2 linked regions of the Lepisosteus oculatus genome follow. The protein of the gene in region 1 purifies or fractionates together with the protein of each later gene. This does not show direct contact. Links are inferred from orthologs where the notes say so. Each region holds a gene or a part of one and is shown on either strand. Other genes may lie near its edges.

Evidence for each region.
Region 2: the proteins of vcam1b (region 1) and msna purify together in Homo sapiens (affinity purification with western blotting; 3 studies listed by BioGRID, with this or other methods). This does not show direct contact. The link is inferred for Lepisosteus oculatus from reciprocal best matches to the Homo sapiens genes VCAM1 and MSN.

Annotation. Positions count from the first base shown.
Region 1 is NC_090704.1:19,635,015-19,651,588, reverse strand, and holds the start of vcam1b (vascular cell adhesion protein 1b), read left to right. Parts: upstream 1-9,100; 5' UTR 9,101-9,365; coding exon 9,366-9,411; intron 9,412-9,707; coding exon 9,708-9,977; intron 9,978-10,420; coding exon 10,421-10,732; intron 10,733-11,335; coding exon 11,336-11,599; intron 11,600-12,805; coding exon 12,806-13,072; intron 13,073-14,364; coding exon 14,365-14,643; intron 14,644-15,426; coding exon 15,427-15,738; intron 15,739-16,167; coding exon 16,168-16,434; intron 16,435-16,574. UniProt on the Homo sapiens protein: Cell adhesion glycoprotein predominantly expressed on the surface of endothelial cells that plays an important role in immune surveillance and inflammation.
Region 2 is NC_090703.1:43,069,468-43,085,078, reverse strand, and holds the start of msna (moesin a), read right to left. Parts: upstream 9,830-15,611; 5' UTR 9,520-9,829; coding exon 9,508-9,519; intron 3,146-9,507; exon of another isoform or gene 3,126-3,145; intron 1-3,125. UniProt on the Homo sapiens protein: Ezrin-radixin-moesin (ERM) family protein that connects the actin cytoskeleton to the plasma membrane and thereby regulates the structure and function of specific domains of the cell cortex.

The sequences.
Region 1 (16,574 bases):
TATTTAACTGTCAAATAACAATTTTGTCAACCGGTCTATGCCACAGAGCTCATTAACAAAGCCCACAGGACAATGCATCTCCCAGTGGGTATCCTCACACGTACTGTAACTGTCTCCCTTTTCCAATCTCACCTGTTTGCTTGCAACTCTTCCAGCAGGTGAATCTGCCTATGCATCTTTTTACTAGCATCTATGCCTGTCTGACCTCTATGCCTCAGAAAGAACTTGATCACTTACAGTAAGTCTCAAATGTACCTGCCACCTCTTCCTGTTCCACAAAAGTCCCCCTACTTACATTCTGCTTTAATCAATTCAGGATTAACCCTCCAATTTTAATCACCCACATATACAGTGCCTTGCGAAAGTATTCGGCCTAACCCGTTGCGTTACATTGGTGTCAGAAGCGGGGCGGGATAGCCCTTCGCCGGGGACGGCGATTTAAGCGGGGGAGAGTGTAACGCTTACGGCCGACAAGCACTGTGTGTAAGAGCCGGCGTACCAGAGCGGGTGACGTCACCGCCCTTCCCTGTGATAGCAGGACCACAGCTACTGGGCTGTGGAGAGATCTCTCTTTGGCTCACGGGGCTAGGTCGCTGCAGAGAGACGCGGAAGTCCCGGGTTCGAGCCTCCAGTCGGGATGGGGCTGACCAGATGCGGCAAGGGCGCCCGCCTGAGCCCCCGTTGTGTTACATTGGTTTCTGGATGAAAACCTGTTGGAGTCTGCAAAAGACCTGAAACTGGGATGGAGATTTATCTTCCAACAAGACAATGATCCCAAACATACAGCAAAATCTACAAAGGAATGGTTCACAAATAAACGTATCCAGGTGTTTGAATGGCCAAGTCAAAGTCCAGACCTGAATCCAATCGAGAATCTGTGGAAAGAGCTGAAAACTGCTGTTCACAAACGCTCTCCATCCAACCTCACTGAGCTCGAGCTGTTTTGCAAGGAAGAATGGGCAAGAATTTCAGTCTCTCGATGTGCAAAACTGATAGAGACATACCCCAAGAGACTTGCAGCTGTAATCGCAGCAAAAGGTGGCTCTACAAAGTATTAACGCAAGGGGGCCGAATAATTTTGCACGCCCCACTTTTCATTTTTTTATTAGTTAAAAAAGTTTCAAAAATCCAATAGATTTCGTTCCACTTCACAATTGTGTCCCACTTGTTGGTGGTTCTTCACATAAAATAAAAAATTTATATCTTTATGTTTGAAGCCTGAAATGTGGCAAAAGGTTGAAAAGTTCAAGGGGGCCGAATACTTTCGCAAGGCACTGTATACTGTTAGAATAGATCTCTGTCTCTCCTACTTCTACCTTTCCTCTATGCAACACAATCTTCACTCTTACTATACATGTTCAAAACAGTGGGATGAAAGACTTAACTTGTGGCAACAGCCCTAAGCCTCAGGAATCTCTGGGGTATATCAGAGGAATATTTTCAATATTTTCATAGTCCATCTCCATTTTGTCACTATCCCTGTTTCCACTCTGATTTAATGTGAGCTCTTAAACTAAATTATACTATGCATGATGTCTCTCAGGGTCACTATCTATCCTCAAGGCCCTGTTTCCTACACAGCACCTCAGTGCTACTTACAGTAACTGGTTGCCAACTGCACGCTATTTGAGGTGATAAAGAAATTGTGTGACTTCCTGGCCCCATGAATCTTTTCAGTATCATTCACTCAGTACCATTCTGTGATCTGTACCCAGTAGTCAACACCATCATTTTTTTTTAGGAGACTTGGTTCCATTTGGAGCCAAAATCTAACATGATCCACTCAGTCGTATCTGTACAGTTTGTATTTAAGTAACTCAACTTTCAATTTCTATGTATCATAAACCTTCCCAGATGTCACCTCTGGGCCTCTTTCAATTCTTAATGTGCACTGCTCATACTTTGTTATTCAATCAATGTTCCCATTTTTAGAAATGTAGGATCTCCTACACATTTTCAGAGGCCACAATCCAGTATCTCTTCCTCTGTGTTACCTTTCCGGATCATTTTCAGAGCACTCTTCATTCAAACTCTTCATTTATCACTTCAAATCCATCTGCACAGTCCTTTAAACCCCATATTTCCATGACCACAAATGTCAGAATGTAATGCTGTATTTTGAATGATTTGTTTTGGGATGCTTTCTGCGTGCCGTGTCTAAAAATGGTAAACAAAACAATACATAATGGATTTCAGGAAAATCCTGTGCTTAAGGGTTTTTCCTGAATAGCTTAACCTAATGGATAAGGATACATCTACTGCTTCTGAAGTTGCATAAAAGTTTTTGTTAAGTTTTGGTCCTTTTTGTTATTGAAAAAAAAGAATTCGAGAAGACTGCAAATTTAAAAGCGGTATGGTTTGGATATGTTTTTATTGACAGCACAGGTAATTTTCAACACAATGATTATCAAAGCGTTCTTGTGGTATTGCAAATCTCACTCTGCTTGTCCTCTCACCAAACAATGCATTGTTTCAAATCAAAACCTCTGCATTTGGAAAACAGTTGTTATCAATGTTATCAACAAGTTTCATAAATACAATTCCGGGTAAGTGGCTAATGGTCATTGATTATAATTTTGTCTGCAACATGAAATACTTGGAAAAAGAAACTTAAAGTTTCCTCTTTGGCTATTGGAATTGTATTCTTAGGATGTGCTAACAAAATGAAAGTTGTTTTTATTCAGACTTTCAGGATGTCCAGAGGAAATTTTGCTGAGCAAAAAAAAAGGGTTTGAAAGTTCCCAAATGTATTTTAACTCTGCCTTTAATACAAACTTTGTTCTCTCCCACATTGTTGTTGGTTTTTATACGCATAATGAAACTAAAATGTGATTAAAAAACCTTTGATCAAGCGGTTAGCTACAACAACCAAGGACAAGCTCAAAGGAAGCAGTGTATGAAATCTTGAGATGAAATTTGCAATACACCCAACACTGGTATCACAGAACACATTAATTAAAAAAACAGAATAATGTCTGTGTACAGTACATCTAAACATTTTTTAAATTAGTTTCTCTGGGCATAACTGAGGAATGAGCAATTCCCAATGGCTTTTCTAATGAGACTTTAATAACCTATGAGTCACTATAAAAAGAAAAAGAAAAAAAATATTTTGAAAGCATGCAAATAGAAGTAGCTATAGGGTGGACAGTAACAAACACATACTCATAAAATTAGTTAAAGGTTGAATAAAGTATGGTCATTATAAATAGCCACTTCTTTGAATGTAACAGCCAATCTGAAATGTAGTACTTGGCACTGAGATGATAAAATGATAAGGCAGATAAATATTAGTTATTAACCTGTTACTACCAGTGACATATTTAGCCAATGTCCGCCTGGAATTTCCCCACCTTAAACATTTGTTATATCTCTGCAGCAGAACATAGCAGGAGCCTGGTTCAGGTCTTAAATTGAAGCTAACCGCCTTGGCCTTGAGTGTGAATAGTCAAATTTCTTATATTTCTTAATGTGTCCACTCTGCAGACAAACATATGAAAAAACAAAAACAAAAAAACAGCTGGCAAACATTTTTTTTGGGTCTTCAGAGGTCAGATTTTTCAACTATATGCATGTCAAGGGCCTGGGAATGATTTGAAAACCTTGTTCTAGGTGGCTACTAGCTTGGATAAAAATTTGGGACAAATTGATCAATTAGAAAAAATTCTACATCATGTTTTGTGAAGACTGGACCTGGAATGAAATTTCATGCCTATAATAAAAAATCATAAAAATATTGAAAATAATAAGAATAAAAACCATTGCAATTGCTATAAAAACCTTAAGACACTGCTAGAGAGCCTTTATCTGCTGTTACGCAATGAAAAAAAAACCTCAGAGTTGCCTTCTGGTGTGAAAAAAAGGAGCACTGATAAGAAACTGATAAAAAACTGATTGATTACCCCTTCTGAGTCAATGATTGACAGCTAAAAATGCAACCTGAAGCTTCTAGAGGGTCTCACCCCCTAAGGGCTCTGAATGGCTGAAAATAAATGAATGACAGCGGTTTTGACCAATCAAATCACCTTATTTCGTTCTTCAGACATTTACTACGTAATCAATAACGTTTACTAGTCTCTAGCTCTTGAGAAAAACTAGTCTGGGTTGTTTTGGATATATATCATGCTCCAGAATAAGGTAAAAACATGGGATATATATATATTTGCTGGTTTTTACTTTTGCGGTTTTGTTGGTAAAAATGTATGATATTGACATGCTGTGCTTGCCGGGTTGCCGTGTGTTTTTATTGGGATTCTGCTAGTTCATTACTTTATTGGTTTATTGCATAATAGTGTCATGTCTGTGGAAACAAACTTTATGGTTTTGTTGTGGTGATATTTGAGAATACGTGCATGTGAGAAAATTTGTGGAGCGGTTTCAAACAAACGTTGTTTATCTCGCGTTTATCTTAAAAATAAAAAGTGTCATCTGGGGAGACAGGAATGGTCCTCGGTGACCGCGATCCGGACTAAGAGTTGTTTTACTGTTTACAGACATTAAAGTTAGTAAAAAATGTATTGACATCTGTCTGTCCAGCAGCTGACAGAATGTACCACAAGCAAGCTGCTTCCCATCCAACATGTCCCTGACACTCTTCACACAGAACATGTCCAGTTTTATTCACATTCCAGACAGCTGCCCTGTACAGACTTTGCAGAACAGCCCTCACTCATATCAAGAAAGAGTGCCTGGCTCATCTTTGATGCTGAGCCAAAGCCACTCCGAAAATAGCAAATCTTTTTGAGTGCTTTCTTTCCAGACTCACGTGCCCTCACTGAGCGATGGCATTATCTGCACTATCTGGCCTTGCTAGATGTGTCAGGTCCAGGTCAAACTTCCCTGCTTGGAGCAGGTAAATTCTGTTGTAGTACTTCTTTACTGCAGTTCCTTCCTGCAATGTGCTGTACTGAAATGGAGATTAATCATAGAGTCATGATATAACAAGCTACAGCAATACTGAGCAGTGCGGAAAGAGGCTCCATAATGAGTCATTTTGAATGTCGAGCTACCCAACCAACAGCAAAGGAGGACTAGCAGTGAGCAGTGCTGAAAGCTGTAGCTCATCACACAGCCCATGGTGAAACACTGACACACTCATGAGCCTTTCTTCTCTTACTCTCCCCAGCTGTTTGCGTAATGGCTGTCAGGAATCCTCAATGAATAGGTATACAGATCCTGTGCAGATGCCGGAGTAGGAAGATGTCAAGGCAGGTGAACAATCCAATATGTAAGGCGAGTTTGTGGTCCAAAGGAAAAAGGTGATTCAGAATCCATGAAGTACAATTGAAGTAAACCATCTGAAACAAGAGGCGAGGTCACGGTCAAAAGGCGTAATGTAGGTCGAAATCCGGGAAGTACACTGGTGGCAAACAATCTGAGATGAGAGGCGAGGTCCAAAGTCGAAAGGCAAAAGGGAAGTCCAGAATCCAAAATAATACGAGGTACAGAAAACGCCACGTAGAGCTCTCAACGAGTAGACTCAAGCAGAGGGAAGCGGGTTAGGATGGTTTAAATAGTGCTGCTTGCCGCACGGTAGAGCGTGTGCTGATGGATTAACACATGCGGCGGCGCTTGTTATTATTAACCAGCTGCTGGTACTGGTTAGCTCTCCGCTGGTTGGTGCTTGTGACAATGGCAGTGATGCTTTCATAATGGATCTCTGTAATTCTGCTTTGGTGGTGGGCAGCAGGTATATAGTTATCTATTTCTCTATTTTGTCTATGTCTAATATTTTGTCTAATATTTATCTATTTGTCAAATGGACCTAAAGCCTAACTGAGGAAACTGTGACACTGCAAAAAACATCAGTGTAATGGCTGCTGGACAAAACACTACAATGTCCACTGATGCCAGACAGCAGTCTTTTTCTCAAATTTGCAGTTTCACTTTTCACTGCTCACACGCCTGTGCTGCTCCTTGTAGCACAGCCAGACAACACACAACCAGCTTTCTCACTTCTCCAAACCTTTCATGATTGGGCATGTACATCACCGAAAGTTGCTTCCATGTACAGTATAAATGTGTAACCCAGCTGCATGTGCTTGAGACAACCTCACTATACACTATTCACTTGTAGAGACTAATTTGGGGCACCACTCATTTCTCCTTTATTCCCATCATTATTGTTGAGATGTCTTAAGAACTGACTGAATTTTGGATACGACAGCCTTGCTGGATGATAATTTTGGGGGGGGGGAGAGATGACATATTACACTTGGTCTCCCTTGCCAAGAACACCATTAAATGTCATCAGATGGGTCATCAAATCCCCTGAAAGGCTTCCAGACCAATGGAACAGTGGCACGAAACCATTTTTCCTCCTCTGCATATAATCTAGTTAAACACTCTAGACATATTCAAAGGAAAATGGAGAAAGTTGCTTGAAGATTGAATTAACATCAATTCAGGAAAATTACAATTTTGTAGAATTTACATACCTGTACTATATTAACATGCCTTGGCGCATAACACTCCAGGTTCTGTCTATGTACTCCTCCAGGTGTTTAGAGCAGATCTTTCCAGATGACATTTTTTGCCCTAGGTAATATAGTGTTAAAATCCTTTGAAACACACAGCTTTTACACAGAGGGAGTAGTGTCACTTGATGCTTTGAATAGATTGAGATGGAGGAGATTTGAAATTGAGTCTGTACTGTACTTTACTGTAATAGTCAGAACAATGGGGATAAGTAATAAAGAATTCCGCTGCAAAAATGGAGATATGATTTTGCTGCAAATTTTGTATCAGAAAAATTCCAGCCCCCGTGCTATAAAAGCCAGACGTTCCTGCCAATCTGGGCTCAGCTTTGGAAGATGGACCCCCGGAAGCCCGCCTATCCGCAAGTCCAGGAGCGACTCGACGGCACAGGCTTCATCATGGCGTCCTGACCTTCTGAGTCCGGGATTAGGGAGCATCTGGTCCCGTGACCCCCCTTTTATTTCCCCTACCCTCCGCCGGATCCCGCTCCGGCTTTTGCTACACCTATGGATTTGTCTCAGACTCCCTTGGACTGTTTGCCTCGGCCACACCTCCCCCGAACACCAGTGCATCATGAACACGCTCCCTGTTTTCCTGCCAGCCCTAGAGGCCTTTCTGAAAAAATATTAAGCCCAAGTGTTCTAATAACTTCATATCACTCTATCAAACTGAGCAAAGTGATAAGATTTACAGTTAAATAATGTAAACACAGAGCAATTGTCTTAATGCATTGTCTTGGCATCAGTTTCTAAAACGTCTATCAAGTTAATTGTGAAATAAATATACACTGCTAAATGCTGCTAGGAGATGATTGTTCCATGAATTCAAACATGAATAATAGTGGGAAGGGGATACATGCTCTTCAATTTAATAATTCTTAATAGCCATGGATTGGTTTCCTTGTCATGCAAATTACAAGACAGAGAGAATGAAACAGAACTTCAAACGTTTAATTTCATCCCATTCCACTCTTGCTTGTCTTGAATTTTTTACATACTTTATTTGACACTTACATGTACAGGAGTATGTCATTGCTCTTGGAGGAAGGATTATCAGACATTGTCAAGTGCCTCTTACTTCAGTATACTGTAAATATCCCTTACCTCAAATGTTGGAGGCTGATAAGTGACATCAAAGACCTCAAATGCCAGTAAAAGTCCAGGCCAGTAGTCTTCACTACAGAACAGCACTATGCCCATACAAGCAGAGAAGAGGCAGACTTACAGAAGACATGTTACTGTTCTTAATTTATATGATTCAGTGTTTCTCTTGTGATGTTTTAATTCTGCTGTCCTGGATCATAGACCAACATAAATCAGAAGAACCATGTAACTGTGATTCCTGGGAAGGGTTCTAAACAAGACGAGGCACTTTGGGGCGTCAAGCTTATTAAGCTACTAATATAGTAGCTAACTGATCCAAGGATTTCACCTAGAAACTTCCTGAAAGAATCCAGAGTATCAACTTTGACAACATGGCTGGGTGTTTTTTTCAAAACACCAACAACTATGTTAAAACCTACCTCTTGTTTTTGGTTTTAAATGCACCTCTCTGTTATTTCACTTGTATCTCTTCCTACAACCAATATTTGTATCCCTTCCTCTTTCCAATGTGTCTGATGGACAGTGTTGACGTTAGCCCTGTGAGCATCTCTTTGGGAGTCTTCCTTCTGTTTTATATGACAGGGAACTCAAAGCATTTGTTTTGCATTATTAGCTCTTCTTTTCCAGCATTTTAGACAAAGGCAGAAATTATCAAAGTCCTATGTGCTATAATAAAAGGCTGGGTTTTCCCATTTTAGAGGAAGGTGTTACATTTTTATTTTAGAAATTAGAAATCCCTGCTATTTTATAAATAGGTAAGAGCTGAAGCTCTGCCTCTTCGTTGTGTTTGCTAATTAATGGTTCAGTGGAACTGGTTGAGGTCACAGAGAAAGCAGATCCAAGCACATTCACTCCCACTCACAAAGAAAGGGAAAACAGCCTCCCTCCCTCCTTTGTGAGGCTGCCAGTCTGGACTGAATGTGTTTTAGTGCTTTTATAGAATAATGGTGTAGCTTGCAACATTTAGCTCTGCAAAAATCAAAAATTTCTGACAAGCACTATTCCACAAGTTGAATGTTTAAAATACTGGCCCCACATCACTGTGATTTTGTGACAATAACAAATTTAATTTATTTTTAAAAGTAAGTTAAAGCATACTTAATTATTACAACTAAAAATATGACATACAGTATCGAGCACGCCACAGTGAAAGATCAGCGCAAGCGGAGCTTGAGCTATCTGCCTATGTAGTGAGGATGATGCTTGTCTTATTAATACAAAGTAACTGGATTTTCATTTTAATAAGGATGAGAAATAAGTGAGAAGAATGATATCCCGTTTGCATCTGTTTAGGAAACTCCAGCTTGGATTGCTGTCGCGTCGTCTTCAGTGGTATTCACAAACAAGAACTGCGAAAAAGCCTAATTGAAGGCTGCAAAGCGGGATACCACTTCTTTCGGACGGGTTTGCAGCTTTCTGTGCCAGGCTGTGTGTGATAGCTTGGCTAATTGTTTCAGCCGTCTGTGTTCGTCTGTGCCCATTGTCTCAGCCTGCAAAAGCCTGGAACTGTGTATATTCCGGCAGCGTACGGAAGGGGGAGCGATGGACAGACGAAATTTCTTTAGGGGAATTCATGCGTGACACGTCTGGTATTTTGAGGGAGTGTTAATGATTCTTTTTTTATTTTCAATGGAATCCCCTTTAATCCCTATAAATAAGCCCAGCAACAGTTCTACAAACCCACACCAGAAGAACAGGGAGTGGAAAGAGCGGCATTGATATCCACATCGTAACACGTTTGATTGCACCTCGTTTTGGAATCTTAGCACATTAAAACTTCTCGTAATGGCATTAATTAAATTTATTTCGATCCTTTTGATCGCGCAGAGAGGTAAGTAGAATTATTCGTCGATATGCGAACGTACATTGGGCACATTTACGTGCAGTAATGGAGAAACAGAATAAAAGACTGAAAAATGCTTATTTTCTACACTATTATAAGCTAATAATTCTGCTACGCCTGACAAAAGCGGGTGTATATTTAGCAAGTATGCATATGCTATGCACTTAAATGTGATTTAGCCCTAGTGTGCTTTATACTATATTTTAATAAAATAATTTAATGGGAATACTACGCAGGATTTAATGTTAATATTGTATTCATACGTTTGCTTGTTTTCTGAACAGGATTTTCGTTTAATATTAAACTGCAACCTTCTAATCCATTGGCAATTGTGGGCTCCGACCTGGTTCTGAACTGCAGTGCGAACTGTCTCGGAGCCCAGTTCACCTGGGGTTCGCTGGAAGACAAACCTCTGTACGCGAAGATTCAGAATAGCGACTCTCAGTCCCTGGCGATACTGTCTCCGGTGAAGACAGAGCATGAAAACACAATCGTGTGCAAAGTAAAGTGCGGGAGTAAGAGCAAACAACAGTCGACAAAAGTCAATGTATATTGTAAGTGCTTAATGCTTCTTTCGTTGTACGCTGTTCCCAATTCAAGTATTGATACGTGATAATTTAGCTTTAAACCGTTAACTTGTCTTTTTGTGTAAATGTAAGCAGATTTCCTTTAAAATCGGCTTCAATCCCTTTGCACAGGTCAAAACACGTAAGAGTACATTTAACGGTAGCCTTTATACTGCTTGACATCTATGACCGAGTGTCATTTTTTTCTGTTATTTCAGATCAGACGCTATATTTATGTGAAATATTTAAATTATTTTTCGTGTTTCAGTAGGTTGTCACTGATATATTCCCATGTCTCTCTGATCAGGCACTAATCGATTTTCATCCTCCCATTACCCACAAGTGACAAATTGCGATAAATAGGTAGCCTAGGATAGAAGAGTCTACTATACAAATTGATTTTATATTTATACTGAATTATATTTTTCCAGCTTTTCCTAGCAGCCCAAGTATTTCAGGGAATGGACATTTACTGGAAAACCAATCAACTACGCTCACCTGTCAGGTCCCTGATGTCTACCCAGCCGAGAAAATGGAAATTCAGTGGCTATTTGGGGAAAACGTTATTAGTACAGATTATGGAATCCATAGTCCAGCTACCCATACTGTCACCTTGATTCACACCTTCAAGCCAACAGCTGGAGACGATGGGAAACAGGTGACATGCAGAGCCCGTCTGGAAGTAGAGGGACTACCAGAAGATCAGGCTACCAAGGAAACAGTCGCCACGTTACAGTTGCAGAGTAAGTCACATTCTAAAGACCGACCTGTAGTTCTCCATGCTGCAACACCATTTATGGCTATACAACAGCAAAACAGACAACTCTAAAGAAAGGAGGCTGCTGTCCACTTGAAACCAGCTCTTCAAAGGCAGTTTCTATTAGGCCTTTCATATTAGACATTAAGAATTAAGAATCAAGGGCTACAGCATTCAATTTATTTTTATAAAGCGCCTTTCACAACAAGGTTGCCCCAAGGCGCTTAATAAAACAAGTGACCATACTATATATGTTGTGAATACAGAACAGAAAAGACCAGAAGAAAACAGATGAGAAGAACCAAAAACTCCTGAGTAAGGAGAAAACAAAACTCTATGGGTTCAAGGTCAACTGGCTGCCCAACCCCTGTGGGCATGCTAACATTATACAATTTTTAAAAAAAGGAAAAATGAATAAAGGAATAAAAGAAATGAAGAGTGTATCAGAAGACAGAGGGGATCTGTATCGTGCATAGTGCATTTGTAAAGGTCTAACACTACCAAATACACTTTCCAGTATTCTCCATCACTATGTCGCACACAATAAAGCATCAAATTAAGACTGCATTTTTTGCTGTTATTTTCACAGGAGCGCCAAAGATTATTCGGGTTTTAAGCACTCCTGATTCCACTGTGAGAGAAGGGCAGAATCTGACGCTTCTGTGTGAAGCCCAGAGTGATCTCCCGGCCAACCTGAGGTGGAGGAAGCTGGGGCCGGGCGGCCAGGGACCACTATCGGACAGCGGGACTCTCTCTATTGAGCAGGCGCAGGGTATCCACAGTGGAGAGTACGAATGCCAGGCGAGCAATGCTGTGGGAACAGACACCAGAACAATTACCATCACAGTCCAGGGTGAGAAGAACAGTCTAGTGTCTTTACAAAGCCTGAAAACTGTTGTGTTTTCATCCTAAATATGTTAAACAGTTAAGCCTAATGTATTTTTAAGATCTGACCAAGCTCAGAAAAGAGACATATGAAAGTGTGATTAGGGAAATGAAGATACATTAGCTGGACGTTTTCACTGGTGCAGCTAGTAGCACTTTTTAATGTTTCTTTCGCTGCTGTTAGAAACCATTTATGTTGGAAATGACTTCAATGCCCACAAAAGTATTAGATACTTAAAGCCATGATTTCTCTTTAGATATGTCTTCACTGGGGGAGAGTTCCTGCTGTAGTTTTAAGTTCCAGAGCAACAGATTCAGTAGTTTTCCCCTCTCTAAATTATCACTGTTGGTATTTAATTACTTAAAATGCTTTAACGAAGCATGAATCAGTCAGTGTCAGATCTCTGGTTTCTATTTAATTATAGCATTCAGTTTTAACAAAGTTAAAATTAAGCTTAACATTTTCACCAATGTGGTTATTATGCAGTCATAAATGTAGTTTCAATCCCATAAATTAAAGTAGTTAGCTCTTCATAATGTATCTGTAATCTAATTCTGTTTTCAGTGAAGGGAAAAAACACATGGATTGCAATTCAGTTGTTATTAGTTTTTGGATGAGCACTGGGATTGACGTACAGTACATTCACAGCACACAAAGTTTTACTGTTTCATACTTATTAACTGGTGATGTTAATCAAGTGGGGATCTTTCCTTTTTGGGGGCTGTCTCTGTGTTGTCATTTCTTAATGCTGTATCTTTCACAAAGCGGGCTGGGCTTTGTGTCAGATTTGTTTATGTGGTTGGGGAAGAAACACACAGCCTGGCAACACTGAGGGGTTCAGTGAAAGAGCTTTTGCCAACACACATGGCCAGAAGCCTTGGTTTGAGTGTTTCTCTGAATGAACGGTTTTGAAGTGGTTCCTGAGAGCTGGCAGTTGTTTGTCTTTGAGCCACACTGCCACTTTCACACACCCTCCTCGTGACTACAACCTTATCCTTTTCAGAGTCCAGAGTTCCCATGCCCTGTGCTTTTTGTTAAGCTTAAACACCCACCTTGGTTCATCATATTTTTGACCTGTGTGGTTTCTGAAGTGTCAGGGTTTGGCTTTGGTTTATTAGCGCATTGCTTTGGTGATTAAAAGTGCTGATGAAAAGCCCAATGCTTGGTTTGCAGTGCCCCCTAAGAACACATCCATCACGGTGGACCCATCTGGGGAGCTGAAGGAAGGGGACAGAGTGACCATCACCTGCTCTACACACAGCACCTCAGCAGCGTGGCTCTTTCTGCGCAAAGTGACCCAGAATGAGCAGCAGCTCTTGGAGTCCAGCGATGGCTCTTTTACCCTGAGCTCAGCACGACTGGAAGACACTGGCCTGTATGAGTGTGAAGCTGTGAACGAGTTTGGAAGCGAGAAAGCCAGCGTTAATGTGTCTGTTGAAGGTGAGTACCACAGCATTTTTTTTTTATTGTAGCTACTACTACTTCTATTACAGCTGTTTTCAGTACTATTAATGGTATGCAATACTTCTTTATACCTGAGAGGTAATGAATGGACAGCAAAGAGATCATATTTTCCTCTCATTGACTTAATAGACAGTATGTACCTTCTCCAAAATAAGCTGCAGATTGGGTTTTCAGGTTAAATGCGTCGGCCTCAGCCTGTTTGTTGGACTATTCAAATCTGCTGGCTCTCAGTCTGAGACTGGGTATCTGAAACACACAGCACCATCTGAGGAAGGAGGAGCTTAAAATATTAAGTGAAGGGTCTCTATCGGATAGCTTCAGTATTGAGTGTCAACATCAGACAGTCTTCCGATAAGTGGACTAGTGTCATTCATTCACTTTTTTTACGGGTCACATCGACCTGTTTTGATGCAAAATGTAAAGTAGGAGCCTCGGGTCATTCTACTAAGAGTTAAAGGGGGAGGTGACAGAGGCAACAGGGACCAGTAAAAAAGGGGGAATTTCCCTCTGTAACGAACAGAACATCCCCCCCAGGGAGCTGGTGACATTTTTGCTCAGAAATTCCGTCCCCTGGCTCACGTTAAAAAGGCAGAGCAGTGGCTTAAGGGCATAGTGGCTTACTAAGGCTGAACAACACAGAATAAACACTTCTTGTGGGTTTCATACAAAACTAAGGCATCTTGAGTACTGCAATGGCATCGAAGTTTTTCTTCGCTCTGAGCTTGTGGTTTATGGTTTGGGCTGGAGGTAAGAGAGAGGCGGGGGCTCACAATGGGTCCTGCATTCCTTTGAGAATTTTGATATGATAGATGTGTTTAATGACTATTATTAGCTCAGCTGCCAGCGACTATAATACTACAATCACACAGCTGAGCGCAGCCTTGGGTTAGTGAAAGGAAATTAATCTTTTTAGCCTTAAGTGACTTAAAGATGAACTATCTCTGCTACACTAAACTCCTCATTTTTAGATGTATGCCAGTAACCGATATCCACAATGTCAAAGAAGAATAGCAACCACGCCTATGGCCACAAGGAGAAAATATGATTGTTAACCTTTAAAACTGAACAATGTTAGTTCTTTCTGTTTTCAGGTGGCATTTTGTAGCTTTTAACCATGCATTACATTCAAGGCGCAAAGTTATTTTGTGCTATTAACTTGTGTATGTTCTTTCCTGAAATGCTGCACTGTAATTAGAGACTTGAGAGATTTGAAGGGGTACTGACTACATCTGGTCAAACCGTGACATCTTCATCTGTCCTCTCACCAGCACATCCCCTGGAGGTGCAGCTGAGCCCCCCAGAGGGAGACCTCATAGTGGAGAGGGGATCCTCCCTGGTCCTGACCTGCCAGGCGCAGGGCTGCCCTTCTCCAGACTTCACATGGAAACACGTGATAGACAAGCCTCTGGACGGACAGATTGAGATTAAGGACCACCAGTCCAATCTCTTCCTTGACACCAAGGCAATAGAGGATGAAGTGACCTACAGCTGCAAGGTGCAATGCGGGTCAGCCTGGAAGACCAGGTCCATTCACATAAAGATCTACTGTAAGTGTTTTTTAATATCCATTTTTTTAACCTGATAGGAGACTCAAGAGGAAATATTCATTTGAAATGACCACCAACAGAGCAGAGAAATCACTGAAGTGAAGGATCTGGCCAACAGTTGTACAAACCCTTGACCTCCTAGTCTGTAGTTCAGGGCCCTCCCCACTACACCAAACTGGTGCCCAAAGGAACACTCTGTCACAAATGATGTGCTTAAACATCATGAGTTTTTCCTCTTGTTAGTGATCAGGTGGTTAGCCATACAGCTGAGTGTAAGCTTATTTTCTCCAAAGGGACATTTGTTTTTCTCCAGGCAGACTTTTTAGGATATTGCTCTGTGTATCATACACAGGAGGATTTTGATATATAATAAACTCTCTATCTGAAATGAATTAATTGGATTTAATCTAAAATTAAAGTGATGATTATTGTTATTGCTCTTGCCATTAATGCAGAACACATTAGCATTTCACAAATGGCTAAAGCTCCCCCACAGCACTGCATACCAAACTTTGGTTTACGCTTAAAGGTTCTGGATCTGGAAATAAATGCAACACTTACAAATAATGAAAGAAATATGCGTTGCTGGTTCTGTAATGTCCAGTACCACATTTTAATCAAGAAAATGTCAAGACATTCTGTGATTTGGCCGGACAGCTTCATACTATATGGAGACAGGATATCTTTGCCACAGCAGGCTCTGGAGTAGTCTGATGACAGCTTGTCTATGAATGCTCTTGCTGACTTCATCTCTGAGGGTTTATGGTGTTTATCTCTTTGCAGCTCTTCCTAGCAACCCCGTCATTGAAGGCAACAGGCCCTTTCAGGAAGGAGAAGAAGTCACTCTTACCTGCACTGTGCATGATGCTTTCCCAGCAAACATTCTGCAGCTTCAATGGCTGGAAGGCAAGGAGGTGCTTTCTTCAGAGGACCGGTACTATGGCACTGACACTGAGATCTTTACCTCCAAGTACACATTTGTTGTTCGTCCAGAACACAATGGAAAGCAAATATTCTGCAAGGCATACTTGAACTTGGAAGGCATCCCCAACCACCAGAAGACAAAGTCTGCTCTGATATCTCTAGTTGTGCAGGGTGAGTGACCAGTATTCACTGAAATTGGACTGATGTCCAGAAACACAGCATTCTGCCAATCCAAGAGACCCATCCCTGAGGGCTTTGCCATAACTTAGGTTTAGATTTACTCCAGGAAATATCAATGCAGCACCACAAGCCGAGCATCAGAATTGCTCAGGCCCCTGCCTGGCTACTAAGTCAATCTGAAATTCAGCAACTGGCAGGAGGTAGCTTTAAACTTTTGATGTTTGAAATATTACTTTATTAAACTTTGCTTTATGAATCAGCTGAGTAATTTTTGTTAACTAGCTGATATTATTTGTCTTGTCTGAATTTCTTTGTAGATTATTATTATTATTAATGATGATAGTGGTAGTTACAGTAGCTGTAACCCCACAGCTGTGGCCAGGCTGCACAGCAATAATTGTTGTGGGTTCTTTTTTACAGTGCCCCCTAAGAACACATCCATCATGGTGGACCCATCTGGAGAGCTGAAGGAAGGGGACAGAGTGACCATCACCTGCTCTACACACAGCACCTCAGCAGCGCGGCTCTTTCTGCGCAAAGAGACCCAGAATGAGCAGCAGCTCCTGGAGTCCAGCGATGGCTCTTTTACCCTGAGCTCAGCACGACTGGAAGACACTGGCCTGTATGAGTGTGAAGCTGTGAACGAGTTTGGGAGCGAGAAAGCCAGCGTTAAGATTTCTGTTAATGGTGAGTTTAGTACTTTGTAATTGGAATGGGAGTGTACCACTGCTGAAAATGTTGTCTAGCTTTCACTTCTCTTTTTGCTGAGATCATTCAAGACGTGTTTTGCAATGGAAAAATGTGTCATCACAGTTCTGCTTTTAATC
Region 2 (15,611 bases), on another chromosome or scaffold:
CTAAAAAAACAAACAAGTAAAATCACACTTCAGACATAACTACTGAACCTCACCACCGAACTAAACATTATATGAAAATCCACATAATCCAAGAAAGGACCATTTCAAAGTGGAGCAAAGTGGGATCAGTCCATCCACACAGATACAGATACAAATCAGACAAACCAATTAACCTAACCAGCATGCCTCTTGGGGTTGGGAGAAAACCCACATGGAGATGGGGAGAACATGTAAACTCTTCAATAAAGCTCCCTATTCTGCTATCAAAACCTAGAACCTAAAATAAAACATGGCAGCAGCACCATCAGTCTATCTTAACTTGTTTATTTACACAATAATGGCAGGCAGCACTAGAATAGATTCAGTTCTTTGGACCTTGTATAACCCATTTTGTCAACACGTGTATTACACGGCTGCTAATGGTTAAAAATTTTATACTTACTGTTATATAGATTATCAATATTTTACAGATTCCACTTGCTTACATATTAGGTAAGGAGCTGAAAGCTGTAAAACAATTTTGAATGTCAGGGATAGCTACAACAGAAAATTTGTAAATATGTAAAACAGGTATTTCATTTAAATGCTGTGGTCATGTGGTTTGTAATACACTCAGAAGTGGTGTTGAAGTGATCTTTACATCCCAGGAAAATAAATATACAAAGGTAAAAATCGTGATTTTTATTTTACAGTGATGAAATGATCAAAATCACACAAAAAAAACTTAAGCTTTTCTTTGAGCTGCTAACTAGATTCTCTATCATAACATAACATAACTCCATCTTATCATTCTCTATCATAAAAAAACGGGCAGCTAAATTGCTTTTCAAAACCCTTTCAAAAACACATACTTCAAAATTATAAAATCCAACGCTCAGAAAGACTCTCCCTGTGGTGGAGCTACATAATAGTGACTCTATATGCTGTCCAAGAGGAGAGTAATGTCCAACAGATGGACCTGTAAACCTCTACATCCTGTTTTTTTAATCTTGTCCAACCAAAGGTCTTACACCAATTGATTAGTTGACTGGGCAGCAGGTCATTTCCTGCAGCTTTCTGGAGAATATAGTCGAGACAAGAGCTGCCTCCTTGTCTGATCTGGCTGTCCTATTCGCATTTTAAATAACCACAGAATACATGAAGAAATCTAGATAACAGGAATATCATGACCAATTTTTAGTCTTCAATGTGCCAAATTGTAATGTTTTCATTTTGATAAAGGGTGTTTCTTGAAAAGAGTAGGGTGTGTTAACCCCAGTGTCATGGCCAAATTTCCCTCAGGCCTTTACTAGTCCCCATCTATGAACTGGCTTTATTACTCTGTTCTCCTCCCCACCGAGAGCTGATAAGTGATAAGCATTCTGGTGCACTTTTGCTACTGTTGCATCATCCAGGTGGGGGCTACCACACTGGTGTTGGTGAAGAGGAGTCTTTTAATGGAGTGTCCAGAAAAGTGCTATATAAATGTAAGGATTACCATTACCAGGTGTGACCTCCCTTCATATAAAAAAGCCTGGTAGTGCTGACATATGCATATGATCAGCCCCTGGATAGACTGCTATGGGATGTTTTGCCACTCTGGTTACAGCTGCACAGAAGTTGGCCAAGACTGACTAGTTGTGGTTGCTACCAGTTAATGGCATTAACAATTTGGTCCCACAGATGTTTCTTCTGAGCTTGGTCCAGCAGAACCTTAATACACAGCAAGACCTACAGAATTTTCTTCAGATTCTGGCATTGTAATTCTAGCACTGTTTGGACATACACTGTCCTGCTCTTCTGAATGGGCATAAAGTAATGGAAAAAAACTTTGACTCCTCATTATATGGCTGTGCAGTAAGGTTGCCTTCATTCTGCACCATAGGAGCCGTGTCCAAAAGAAGATTTGGAAATAATTTGTATGTCCACTGTCCTCACTACAATGAATACAAGTACACTATTAATTTGCATAAATATGAAAAATAACTGAAACCGACAGCCTGAGAGTCACAAAGGCTTGCATTTTTTCACAGCTGCATGGCAGATAATGGTTGCGTTCTTTCCCTCATGTATCAGCAGCCTATGCTCTGTACTTGTCGCAATGCCACTTCCTGTCATCACCAACAGTGTAACGAAGACTGCAGGTCTACAGGGTGGGGCCCACAGTATCTCAAGGCCTTGCAACTGTAAGCAACTACTGGTATTCTACCACCAGCCCTTGGAGAAGCCCTCAGAAGAACAATCTGGTTCCTTAGTAGTGCCTTAAAAAACTGAAAATTAAGATTTGGGGGCATAATTTTCTTCTTTTTTTGGTTCACCACCTTTTAGTAGCTGTAACAATTTATATTTATTTATTCCATTGTGATGGGTTCTTATGGGTTCTCGGAAAATCATAGTCCAACACGGGGGTAAAAATCATTTTAACAAAAGGGAGGGGGTAAAAACACTTTGAAAAAGCAGCACAAATACCAGGGTTGGCTTACATCTACAAAACTAATCTTATATCCTGGGATGATAAAATTCAAGAATATTGCAATACAAACTAAAACATATCTTTTTTTAAACTAGCAGGTAAATCTTCATAATTCAATAGTGCTTATACTGTATGTTTCAGAAATCTTTTGGTTGTAAATGAAAGAACATAATTTGTATAGTTTTAGATATAAGTTCTTCCTATAAAAATGCTGTATGAGAAAATGAAACAAGTGTTTAAATTAGTATAAAAATACAAACTGAGGTTGAGCTAGAAACCTTAAAACTTACAAAATCTGTTTGAATAATGATTGCCATTTCTTGCTTAATCCTTCTATAAATTTAATGCGCATATATGAAATTTCTTATTGGAAAAACTACCCAAATTAAAATGACAGCTCTGTATATTACACGTTACTTTAATTACCCAAGAACATGAAATTGGATTAAGTAGTGTTAATTGAAATAAGGTCAGTTCATAAGTAGTATACATGAAACTATATAAACTCTCCAGTCAAAGATTCCTGAAAATAACATAATACTACTGTATATTGGTTCAAAGATTCTCCAAAAACAATGTGTGCCATTGTAATGGTTAAATTCTAAACTAGAAATTCAAAGAAATCAACGTAATAGGAAAATTATACGTTCCACATTCATATATGAAATCATACCCGATCATTGAACCCCAATCCACAAAAAGATGTGCTGAAAAAGCAACTCCCTCTGACTGTTTCTGAATGAGAATTCTAGCTTAAACACCTTGGTAGGACATCCCCATACTTAAATCTGTAGCTAAGCAACCTTCCATGTCAAATTACCAACCAGGAACTGGTTTCTGAACCCAGTTTCCAGTGGCTTTTCTACTCAGCCTGCTGCTGAAGGAGTGGTAACTTTTTTAAATTGTGATGTAATGCAGAAAACCCACCCCGTGCAACTGCACCAAAGAACACTCTGTGCTGTTCATAGTCAGGGGAGAAATTCCGTTAGCTACTGAAGCCAGCGGCTCTTTGGCCGCATTTCAAAACCCTTTTCACTAGTGACTGTTTCTGGTAAAAATAGTTCATCTCCAAATTAAAAAGGAACTAAGAATGAGCAGTTCTGCCTGGTAAGGGCGGGTCTCGCCCAGGCTAGTGATCAGGGTGTTTTCCAGATACTATTATTAGCACAATTGCTGAGAGAAGAATTATTCACAGGTTCCTCAAGATACCGTTTTTCCCTTTTACAGTAATCACCTTTCACCACACCAATGGGGGCTTTATGCTGAACAAGGGTGGAGACACTTTTTTTCTGTTTTCTATTATAAAAAGTGTAGTTGACCCCCAGTTCTTGCTTAATTACCTAGCCTATGACATAATTCTTTATATAAAGATACAATAGTCATGAGTTAAAGAAAATGATTAACAATGTGTCCTTTAAGAGTTAGGCTACAATTCACCATTTGGGTTCCTTGTGCTTTAAAGAGAATCCTAGGCCTTTTTGGTATTTTAAAGTCTAAATTGAGTCCCCTTAACTAAATATCCTGTATCCCTTCTCAAGAAAACAGACTCAAATCTGCAAACTTCTGAAACCTTGTTGCTAGTTTGTAGAGTGTGCCACCACTTAGCAATATACTTCAATACAACCAGCTATAAACAAATTCTATATTTCATCTGCATCATTAATACTATTTAAAAGGTATGTTTCTCGGGTAATAACATATATGAATCACCCATATAAGCATTTTGGCTTCTCCAAAGCAATAAAGGCAGTGTCAGTAGGCTAACAACTTACAGGGTCAACAACTAAATAGGTCTGAAAAAGTATGAAATGGGAGAGTTGTATTTTAGAAAGAATGTAGCTGACAGACATTATTTAGAACACCAGCCTACACCTCCAAAATCTCCAAGCATCTCAGCGATGAATGCAGTTCATTTATTTCTGGATGTTTCAAACCATAAACCGACTCCGACGATAATAAAAGAGCATACAGTAAACCTGGTAACTGATAAAGTGCTTCAAAAATGATTCAGTATGTGAGCATGAAAATTAATCACAACTAGAAAAATACTTTAACCCTAGACAAAGAAGTGGTAGAGCTTTCAAATTTGCCTCTTTCCTTATCAAAGTGTAACATACCAGCAGCAACTCTTACAAAACTTCCAGTGAGGCCTGAAAACAGAAGCTTACTTCCTGTGCTATCGAAATACTTACATTTCGAACATTTAAAATGTTGACTACAACAGAAACACAGTAGTGGAAGCATATCTAAACCAAGCAAGATACTTCTAAGTGAAAACATGACAAAAATAGTGCACAATTGGCATAATTATGTTAATTTGCATTTTGAGGAACATCAATCAGTCAGTAGGATTGTCTTTTAAATGAGACAAAAAAGTTCCTGCACTTTGACATCAAAGCTCAAGCTTTCTTTTCTCTTATTATACAAGACAGCCATTGAATAAAGTTTATCAAGCTAGGTCAAACCATTATTTGCATGAAAAACTCAAGCACCATTGCTCCTTTCTAATTCAATCATGCCACATTTACAACACAAATATGAAGGCTATAAAAATAAATCAGTGATCATTAGTAACATTGAACAAGCTAACTTAAAACTCTCAAATACTGTTTAAAAACCTAAAGCATGATGACAGTTAACCTTTAAACTTATGCCTACTGCAGAGCAATCTTTTCAGATCCTCTTCAGCAACCTATGACATTGTACAGTACTATGCTTGCTTACAAAATATTTTCCATTTCTCATGTGCTCCTTTTCACTACAGCTCCAACCCATGATGACGTACTCAACTCATGCAGATCTCCGTCTACCCTGTGCACAGTTGTCAGTCAACAAACTTCAGTTTACACTAATCTTCCTACTCACTTTTGTAAAGTTCAGAAACAAGGCAAACAGGTAAAAATAGCAGTCAAGAGATGGCAGAGCTGTACACTACGGCTTCATTTTACTTGCAGCAAACTTAATCGTACGCACTTTGCCACGTGCTCTAAGACATGGAAGAAATCCCCATCACCCCATCAAACGTTTTTGAAAAAATAATAATCAGCTGGAAACATATGCACAAATCATTCGTTGGGCTTTTAATGCCAGAAAGATAAATTTCCAAACTGCCTTCCTGCTGCCAATCTTCTTAGTAAAGGTCTGGGATAGTTCACATAATTTACCCTTAAACACTGGCGACCACCTGTAGCTTAGTTTATTACAAACTGTTAAGCCCTGCTTTGCTTTTCAAACTCCCAGTGGTACCTAATCCCCTACTTACATACCAGTGGCCCTTCCACATCAGTTCATTTTGTTGGTTCTGTTGCCTAGCATTTCAGTTTCTTGCTTATTTGCAATTAAGCCAAAGGATATATTACATTGAATCAGTGGTAAACAAAACCATCCTCATAAACTGGAATATATAGAACTATCTAGTTATCAAAAACATCCAAAGTACAAACCTGCTTCAGTTTTAACTTGGAAATCAGACAAGATTATAGGATTTTAAAAAACTGACTTGCTCCAGCTGTAAGAGAAACTACAAGAATTCCAAAAATTGACATTTTTTCTCCATTAATCAGTTATCAAAAGGCAGCTTGTCTGGATGAGGGTGATAGCCTATCCAGGAAACACAAGGGGCAAGCCAAAGACCAAACACCGAGACCAAAAACACATGACAGTTCTCAACCTGGATTGAGCACCAATCCGTTGCAGGGTCAGGTAGAAAGGAACAATTTAGAATTGCTTATCAAAGGCAGCAAGCATATTTGTAGGGGGAGGGGGTAAACCCCTGCATCTAGAGAAAACCCAAGCAATCAGGCAGAACATGCAAACCCACATAGTCTCTCGGGCCTATGATCAAACCTAGAAACCAAAAGTTAAAAAGGATATGGTTTCTAAAGTTATAAATTCAAATGTTCGTTCACATGAAAAAGAATAAGATTTAAATGGAAGGTTCATGGAATTTTCTCAGCAAAAAAACTTGGATTTACCTAATAAAAATCAGACATAAACCTGTATTAGTAAAGTATTTTTTCTAAAATTATTTTTCTAAAAAGAAAGAAAATAACATTTGTATACATACAATCTCTATTCTGCTCAATGTTGTTATTATCTATGAGTGTCTGTGAATTCTTATCATAAATAAATCAATCATATTTTCTACATTATGTCGCACCGATATAACTTTAAAGTGTTATCTAATCACATGGCGATCAGTCATGTAAAGTAATGCTAGGTCTAAGTCTCTAAAGAATGACTTCTTAGGAAAACTTGTATGAACTGGTATAAGTGATTCCTGGAAAACTCTGCTCAGAAACCCAAAGGCCTGGAAACCAGTTTGGTATTAAATTTTTCATGTATCATACACATCACAATCAGGAGGGAATCATTATCATTACGAAAAGAAAAAAATCTCAAATGAAACTTTAGAAAAGAGCAGAGATTATCTAAAAGTAATGTAGCTTTTGTCAAAAATAATTTGTTGAAAATGACCCCTGACTTTCAATTCCCTTTGACAAGCTTGCTATAATTAGACAGCTGAGTTCACCCCAAAGCATGGAATTTCCCACCATTACCTCATTTCAGCCTTTCAGTATTTTCATAAAGCTTAGACAGTGAGTAACAGTGTGAACTACAGAGAACTTGAGGTGGGGGCCATGTGTTGTTTTTTTACACAAAGCAATGAAAAAAGCAGCGCAGACATTTAATGGTGGTGATGAGATAAGGAAATAACTACAGAGCTTTCTGATGCAGTGGCAGAGGGGGAGTCTAGCTTTCTAAATCCCCAAATAAGGCTGTCAGAGGCAGTGTCAAGTGACTGGAAGCCAGGAAAGAGTCTACAGGGAGCTGACGTAGGACCGGAAGCTTTGAGTCATTTCACTGCAGTTCCTTGGGAAGCTGAACCAATGCCAACAAGGATTTAGAAGGAATTTAATTACAATCTGTGGTAGTACCACAAAAGTAAGCTGTACAACTACACCATTTTAGCCAGAAAAAAGTACCCCAATGATGAAAATACACATTTTATGAAAAATAAAGCAACACCCCTAATTAAATATCTATACAGTATTATGCACATAGAAACAAAACTTACAGTATGTGGAAATGTTAGTTTTTTCATCTCAAACATTTTCTTGCCCTCTCTGTCACCTCAAAATGTATTTACAAAAGCATCATAACGCAAACTTTGAAACATAGAGCAATAAAAAGAAAAGCAGTCAGTAATACCACAAACCTACAGATTCTGCTATTCAAAATCCTGTGACAAAAAGGTTTTTTTGTTGCTTTTCAGAGAGGAAATCCAGGTCAGAAGTTAACCTGGTATCTGTATGTGTGTTGATGTCTCATTTGTATTCAGCAGGGTGTACTTTACCTTTCTGACCAGGTTTTACAATTTTGAGACCCACAACCCTGTAGGCTTTCTAGCTTTCTAGCTATAAATTGCTATCGGTTGAAGACCTTGCAACATGTTAATTTGGTATTTAGGATCATTAAATGTAGAGGTGGAACAACACTTCACAGACACTGTGGCCAGAGTTGTGCATGGAAAGCAAAGCAGATAATGTAAGAAGAGCACTAATGCCTGGAAGGAGCTAAATTAATATTCTCAGTGATGCCAGCCTCCAGATAGTAAGAATTTCAGATAGGAAATTTTCACATTTCAAAGAGCATGTCAGATGAGTCTGACAAAAAAATGAGCTTGTCTCATGGGATTATATGGTATAGACGTTTCTTCCATTCAAAAGAAAAGAGACCTGGTCTATTTTGCTGCAGTTTTGTGCCATTGCAGTGCCTAGCATCAAGTTGTCTTCATCAATCAGAGTATGTGGACATCAGCATAGGTAATTAGTATTAGAAGGAAAAATTACACTACTAAAGGACAAAAAAAAATAACTGGACCAAAGATTGTGTTCTGATGCGAATAAGACTAAATTCTTGTTTAAAAAAATCTAGCTGACTCCCATACAACAGGTAAATGTGCCAGACTAGGTAATACAGTAATCATATAGAATATTTATTAGTCAATAGCTCAGTTTCATCTTGCCAAACTGCTATTTGCACAGTGACAAACTGATTTATTTTTACAGGGCTAGAAGCTTTCAAGAGAACCTCCACAAATAAAAGCATAGCATTAAGTTAATTCTTTTGATTAATTGATAAATATGTACTTTTCATTGATAAACTGATACATGGTATGTGAAAGGTACCTCTACTATTAATATTTTCATCAACAAGATTATCAATTTAAATGTTAAATACAGAATAAGCACAGAATAGAAAAAAATCCATAACTATTGCCTTTGTACAGTTTGAAGGCCATGCAATTCATGTGCACAGACGACAACCACGCCTAAAGTTTAGCAAATTACCGGGGATCTTGGTCAGAAATACTCTGCACTTTATTTTGTGGTTCTCTGTAGAAGTAGGTATAGATATTTAAAATAGATGAATGATCTGGATTACAACGTTTCACACAGGAAATTGCAATGTACAAGAGCTTGTATAAAATATGAACGCCGCAGGCCTAGGCTGGAAGAATAGACGCAACCCAGACCATTCAATTTTCAAGAAGCTCTCTTTCCTGGCCAATCACATAACAGAAAAACGGATTCTTTAAGGCACATAGGTCGATACAGAATAACTGTTTGAGGCATACGCAACTAACTTGTACCGCATTGCAATGAACTTGGAGCTGCTTGATAAATATAAAAATCACTAAGTTGTTACTGAAATAGCTCAGCTCACACAAGACAACATTTCACGATAATCAGCGTGCACATTAGTTGGAAAAATAAGAAAATAAAAAAACGTTATCCTAGATCTTATCGTTTTTTAACACTAGAATATTTTACGTTTCACTTAGATTTCTAATAATCAAATGCTATCCTGATTCACAAATGCATTAATTGTGGGTAAAAACGGATTGAATTAATTTATATTAAACCCAGCGTCTTTTTCCCATTACCGTGAACCAAGATTCGATACAGTATTATCATTTTTCCATTTGTAACACAGCACTATGACGTATAATCATTTAAATTAAGTTAAAATGTAAATCGTCGGGTACTCACCGTTTTCGGCATCTTTTCACTCTAGTTTGGAGCCAGATAACAAGCCTTTAGGAAATGTACGATACAATCGAAACTTTTTCAGAATCAAAACTTTTTTCCAGCAGCTGCCACATGCACGACTAAAGCAAAACCGGATACAGCCCTGAGAAGTTACCGTTAACCAGTTTACAGAATAAAAACGATTTTGAAGGAACTTTTCTTTTTTTTTACTTATTTGTGACTGCTGTGTGTTTCTTGCAGCTCTGAATGAGTCTAGAGTTTGATTTCCTGCTAACGGAACTCTAATGTCTGAAAACCACACCCAGGCAAAATGAAGACATACAAGTTGAGTTTGCACATAGACCCCGCCTGTGTTTTCAATGACCCGTATTTCATCAATGCCCTTGTCAAACCCCCCCAAACGAGAAAAGGAATTCTTAAAGTTTCCGAGGAGTTAAATGAGGGATGCCCTAACCTACTTTTACTCCGCATGGTACGTACAAAAATCGCCAAACATATTCCAGTTCTAGTTCTTTATTTGAATGCTGGAAAGTATGTCGACATTAATTATCGTTTGCCCTGCCACGAGAGACACCAAATGACAGTTAGAATTTCTTTTCTTTTTTTTCATTAATAGTACTCCTGCGTGTATTTTCAATGGATTCACCAACGAATTAAAATCCACAGTTCTAAACAAAAAAACAACACTATTTTTGCAACAATAAAATGTGGCCATTGGTCATTATCAAACCAGATGTGCAAGAAAAGCATAACAATTACCATGAATTTAATGCCCCCAAAGTTTTCAAAGTAGTGATCATTTATATTTTTGTTCTAAAACATAACTTTATTTGTGGACTTCAATATCCTGTTTGTACGTAGGCAGCTTTGTGGTTACAAATAAGGGCTAGGATGAAATAACTGAAATATTAGTCTGGCATGTTGTTTCAATTCTTCTGTTCTTCTGAACATTTTATTTGCCTTTTTTGTAGCTATGGTCCTGTCATCTTTCATATTTATGTTTCTAAACAAAAGAGAAAAGGACGCAACATTAAAACAGAAAAATATACAGGAAATAATGGGTGTGACTTGAAACGTTTAGTTTCGTCTGTACATCACAACATAGCACTACTGAGAAAAGAAAAAGCACTTTGTAATTAGCTCTTTGGCTACTTTGTATTGTCAACTTTCGGTTAGATAATTGGAAGACAATACACAACACATACCCAGTAATGAATATACCTTGAAAATTGTTCATGCAAGTAATGTAAAATGGAACAAAAGCACTTCACCTCTTTGTATTGTGTTATTTTAAAATATTACGATAATTTGATTTAACAACAGTTTAAAACGGTATTCAAGCACAGAAAACAACAAAATATATTAAACAAGTCTGTCCTGTCTTCAAAGAGACTTTTACAGACATAAGAAAATGAGAAGGGAAGTTATTAGAATTTAGGTAGACATGTTTCTTTAATTATTTCTTATTTTGTTGGGGTCTTATGTTTAAACTTGAACTACTTTACCCAGCTTTGACCCTTTCTGAATTATCTGGTGTACTTGTTAAAATTACAAACAAAACAGAAACTGGTAAAACAACAAATTTTGAGTACTTCCTCCTCATGTGAACATTTTTATGAAGTACCACCTCGGCAGCTTCACCTCAGTTTGTAAATGTACAAACATGAAAACTTTTTTTAGATTGTAGTTAATGTAATTCATGTAATGTATCTAATTATATTACACCTCTTACACAGTTTCACAGTAATGCAGTATATGCCAGTCATCAGCGAGACAATGAAAGGTCAGGTCAAAAGTGTTACATTCTCAGTTCCTGTTGATAGGTTTTGCCAGTGGTTCTCAAACTGTGGTACTTGTACCAGTTGTGGTGCCCGGAGCGCTGCCAGGGGGTACACCATATGATCCCAGAACTTTGTTGTGTGCACTGAAAAATTAGGATCGGTTTTCATATTTTCTATTTTAATAAAATTAGTTTGGGCCTACGTACTACGATACAGCCCGTGCTAATACTTGAGTGGACACAAGAGCTACTATGTAATTCTATACCATTGTATAGGAATGCGTGCTACGAACGAAAGCTGCCAATTGTATTTAAGAAAAGTTATCTCCAGCAAATAGGGAGGTAGGAGAATGTGCGTGATTTTGGAACAATGCCATTGTTGTAAGCACAGGAAAGCTTAGAAATGTGTGCTACGAATTCTGGCAATCTTGTGAGCACAGGAAAGCGTGATAGATAACAGAAACATATTTAAGAACTGTTCTAAATTAATTTGAGAAAATACACCGAGCTTCTCTGTGTTTCGCTCCCATGCGCATGAAATAAAAACTTTTTAACTTCTGAGATTGAAACGGGGAAAAATGCAAGCTTGTGGATTGCTAAAGCAGGTAAGTCCAACATACTTGTGAAGAACTTTGTTTACCATTGGCAAAAGAGCTGACACGTATTATACAGTATGTGGAGAAAAAGCTGCTAAACAGCTCGACCTACTGCCCCCAAATCGATGACAAGCCTACACAGCGGTGTAGTTGCATGAATTAGAGAGGTTGCTCTAGATATGAAGTAGACGCACTGCAGCATCCACCGCGAGGCCTTGGCCGTCAAGAAAATGCCTGAGGTTTTAAAATCTGTTAGACTCTGCGGTGAATTGTATCAAGGCTCGATGAATGAATTCACATCTGCTTTGCTCGACTAAACAGGCTCACCCCTCTCACTGAAATGGTGTTTTTTTTATTCTTTATTTTTAATTGTTGTGCTATATCAAATAAAGTTTATTATAATAATTATTATATGTGTATGTGAGTTTGTGCATGCACCCACACTCATGTTGGTCATTTAGATTTTCTGGGGTTTCTCTGAGAAGATGATTTTGTACGGTAGGTTGTACTTGGATGCTTTGGTTTGATCAGGGGTGGTACTTGGTCCAAAAAGTTTGAGAACCACTGGGTTATGCTACCGTATCAACTGAAGAAGACTGAGCTTCATGTGTTGAGTGGGGAAAATGGCCTTTTTATTTCAGTATACCCAGGCCTTCTTTGACACTGTACAACCAGAAAATGTTTCATCTGCTATTCAAGTATTTAATTTTATCAGCATAATGTATATTAAAGAATATGAGATACAGTACTGAAGATTTTGACTTACCTCAGGAACTTTGCATCTTTCCTTGCCAGGATTGAAAAACTTTAATAATTGCTGCAATTTTGAATTTTGGGGCAACTGAGGGGAAACAATTAAGGTTTCATGGTCAAAATAGTAGCTTTTAATATACATTATGCTAGAACATCTAGAGATTCAGTATTTTATATCAGGAAGGACCTAATGATTTTACAGCAATGTAAACTGAAGACATGAAGACATCTACATGAAGATAGAATACTATTTCATATTAAACAGATTTAGAGAAATTCTACTTCTGGAGGCAAATCAAAAATGGTCAATATGAGTTTGAATATAGTCATCATTGAAATGTTACAAATAATGAAATGTAACAAGTTTACTGTTGTGTTGTAACAATAAATTGATGGCCCTCTTTGAATTTCTCAGGTTATCTTTAAGAGTCTATGTGATGATTTAGTTTGTGCCTCTCCCTTTCAAACAATAATTAAACAATATACTTTTGCTCACCATTTTTAATAAAGTTTCTGTCCATTTTGTTCATTTGCCATGTGCTTATTTTAATCAGGGGAAGCAGATATTGGCCAGGAAGTTAAAAATCACCCTGTGACAGAGTCAGCCAGAGTAAACTCTTAAACATTTCCTGTTATTGAAATTTTAAAAGTACCATGACATTGGTTAGTTCTGAGTCTACAACTAAAAAAATCAGATTTACATCACAGAAAGGAACAATCCCTTTTGCTCCTTGATCTTTCAGTAGGCTTTCCATGAATTCCATGAAAGTTCAGCATAGGATTCGAGTAACTGTCCCTCCTGGAGCTTGGTTTGACTTTATTATTGGCATTTAAGAATGTAATTGTAAATCATTTGCTTAATCATACACTACAGATGTATTCCATTGTGTAATAAAATATTTTATATTTGTTTAATATTTTTTATAAATACCATGCTTATTGTGGAAATCTTTCAGTATTGAATGTTGGGACCTTTGTGAAATGTCTTCAAATAATTTATTGTTCAGGATATTTACTGTACATAAAAAAAATATTTATATATTAATCATCAGGAAATTTGTTGTTAAATAAAAGATGACACAGATTACATTAATTTCATTTTCCTTAGATTGGTGTTGTTGAGGACAATGGGATTTTTTCATAGATGCAGTCTACAATGTAGTTGCAGCACAACTGTTTATTGCTAAGAGGGTGTTGAAAAATCTAAAGCCATCAGAAATACAAAAATAAGGTTGTGATATTTAGCTGTGGTAGCAAGAATGCATTTATGTTAAACATGTCAGTGTGTGAATACCATACATGACATGCTCACACTTCCTAAATTGTTTTAGTGGTATAAACTATATTGCAGCTCTATATTAAAACTATATAGAAAATATACTGAAGACTGAAATAATAATAATAATTGCTTACACTTATATAGTGCTTTTCTGGACACTCCACTCAAAGCATTTTACAGGTAATGGGGACTCCCCTCCACGACCACCAATGTGCAGCATCCACCTGGAAGATGCGACGGCAGCCATAGTGCGCCAGAACACTCACCACACATCAGCTACAGTGGTGCTAGACATTTAATGTTGGATCATTTTGATCAATAAATGTATGAAAAAGTATATCCTTTTGTGTGTTATTTGTTTTATTGGGTTCTCTAGTTTTTACTTAGATGAAGATCTGATCAAATTTTAGGTAAAATGTATGCAGAAATTCAAAACATTCCAAGCACCACAGTATAGATGGGGATTATTAGGAGACCATGATTGGTAAGGGCTAATGGGAAATTTGGCCAGGACACCAGGGTTACACCCCTACTCTTTTCGAGAAATGCCCTGGGATTTTTAATGACCACAGAGAGTCAGGGCCCCAGTTTTAAGTCTCATCCAAAGGATCATCCAAAGGACAGCCCCTTTTTACAGTATAGTGCCCCTGTCACTAAACTGGGGCATTAGGTCCCACATAGGCCTCAGGGTAAGCATCCCCTGCTGGCCCCACTAACACCTCTTCCAGCAGCAAACTTAGGTTTTCCTAGGAGGTCTCCCAGCCAGGTACTCACACCTGCTGAGCTTCAGTGGGTTACCAGTTGTGGGTTGCAGGGTGATATGGGTGCTGGCTAAAATAATAAATAATAATAATTTATCTACTGTATGTACTGAACATGAGGTGGCATAGCGATGCAGTAGTTAGCATTGCTGCCTCACAGCACTAGACCCCTGGGTTCAATTCTGGATTTGGGATGATGTCTGCATGGAGTTTGTATGTTCACACCAAGTGCACTTGGGTTTCCTGTGGGTGCTCCGGTGTTTTTCCCACAGCCCAAAAACATACTGCACTGGTGGGTTAAGTGGCTTCTGCGAAAAGTGGCCCTGGAGTGAGTGTGTCTGTATGTGCTGTATCCTGCCTTGCACCCATTGTTATCGCAGGACTGCATTGGATGAAGGTCGGAAAATGGATGGATGGATGTACTGAACATTAGGACTGAATCACAGCAGGACTTCAGAGTTGTAGATGTAAAACGTTTTTCACCACTTTAGATTTATCCCTTTTTTTTAACAGTTATGAAATGCGTGACCATACGTTAGACTGTTCGTGTAATAATAGCACTGATTTACGTCACGTTTTTGGAGGCAACAACAAATATCAATAGATGATACTGGATTGGTTCAGCCCTCTTTCCGCTATATAGAACCCGCAGGAGAAGGGGAAATCGCATATTGGTTAAGGAATCAATTAACTGAAAATAATCTTTGCTTTTTAAAAAAGTTCTGCGAGTCATGACCGGACTTGGAAACCTAATGTTTAATTCATAACTGGTAAGGCGTTCAAGAGACCCCTTCCCACACACGTTATTATTATTATTTCTTTACCAGTTGCAGTTACATTTACAGTACGATGACGTATGAAATGTTTTTATTTAGGTATACAGTATTGGGTGTATGTAGAATACCATGCAATAGATACCAGCTTTCTTCATTGAA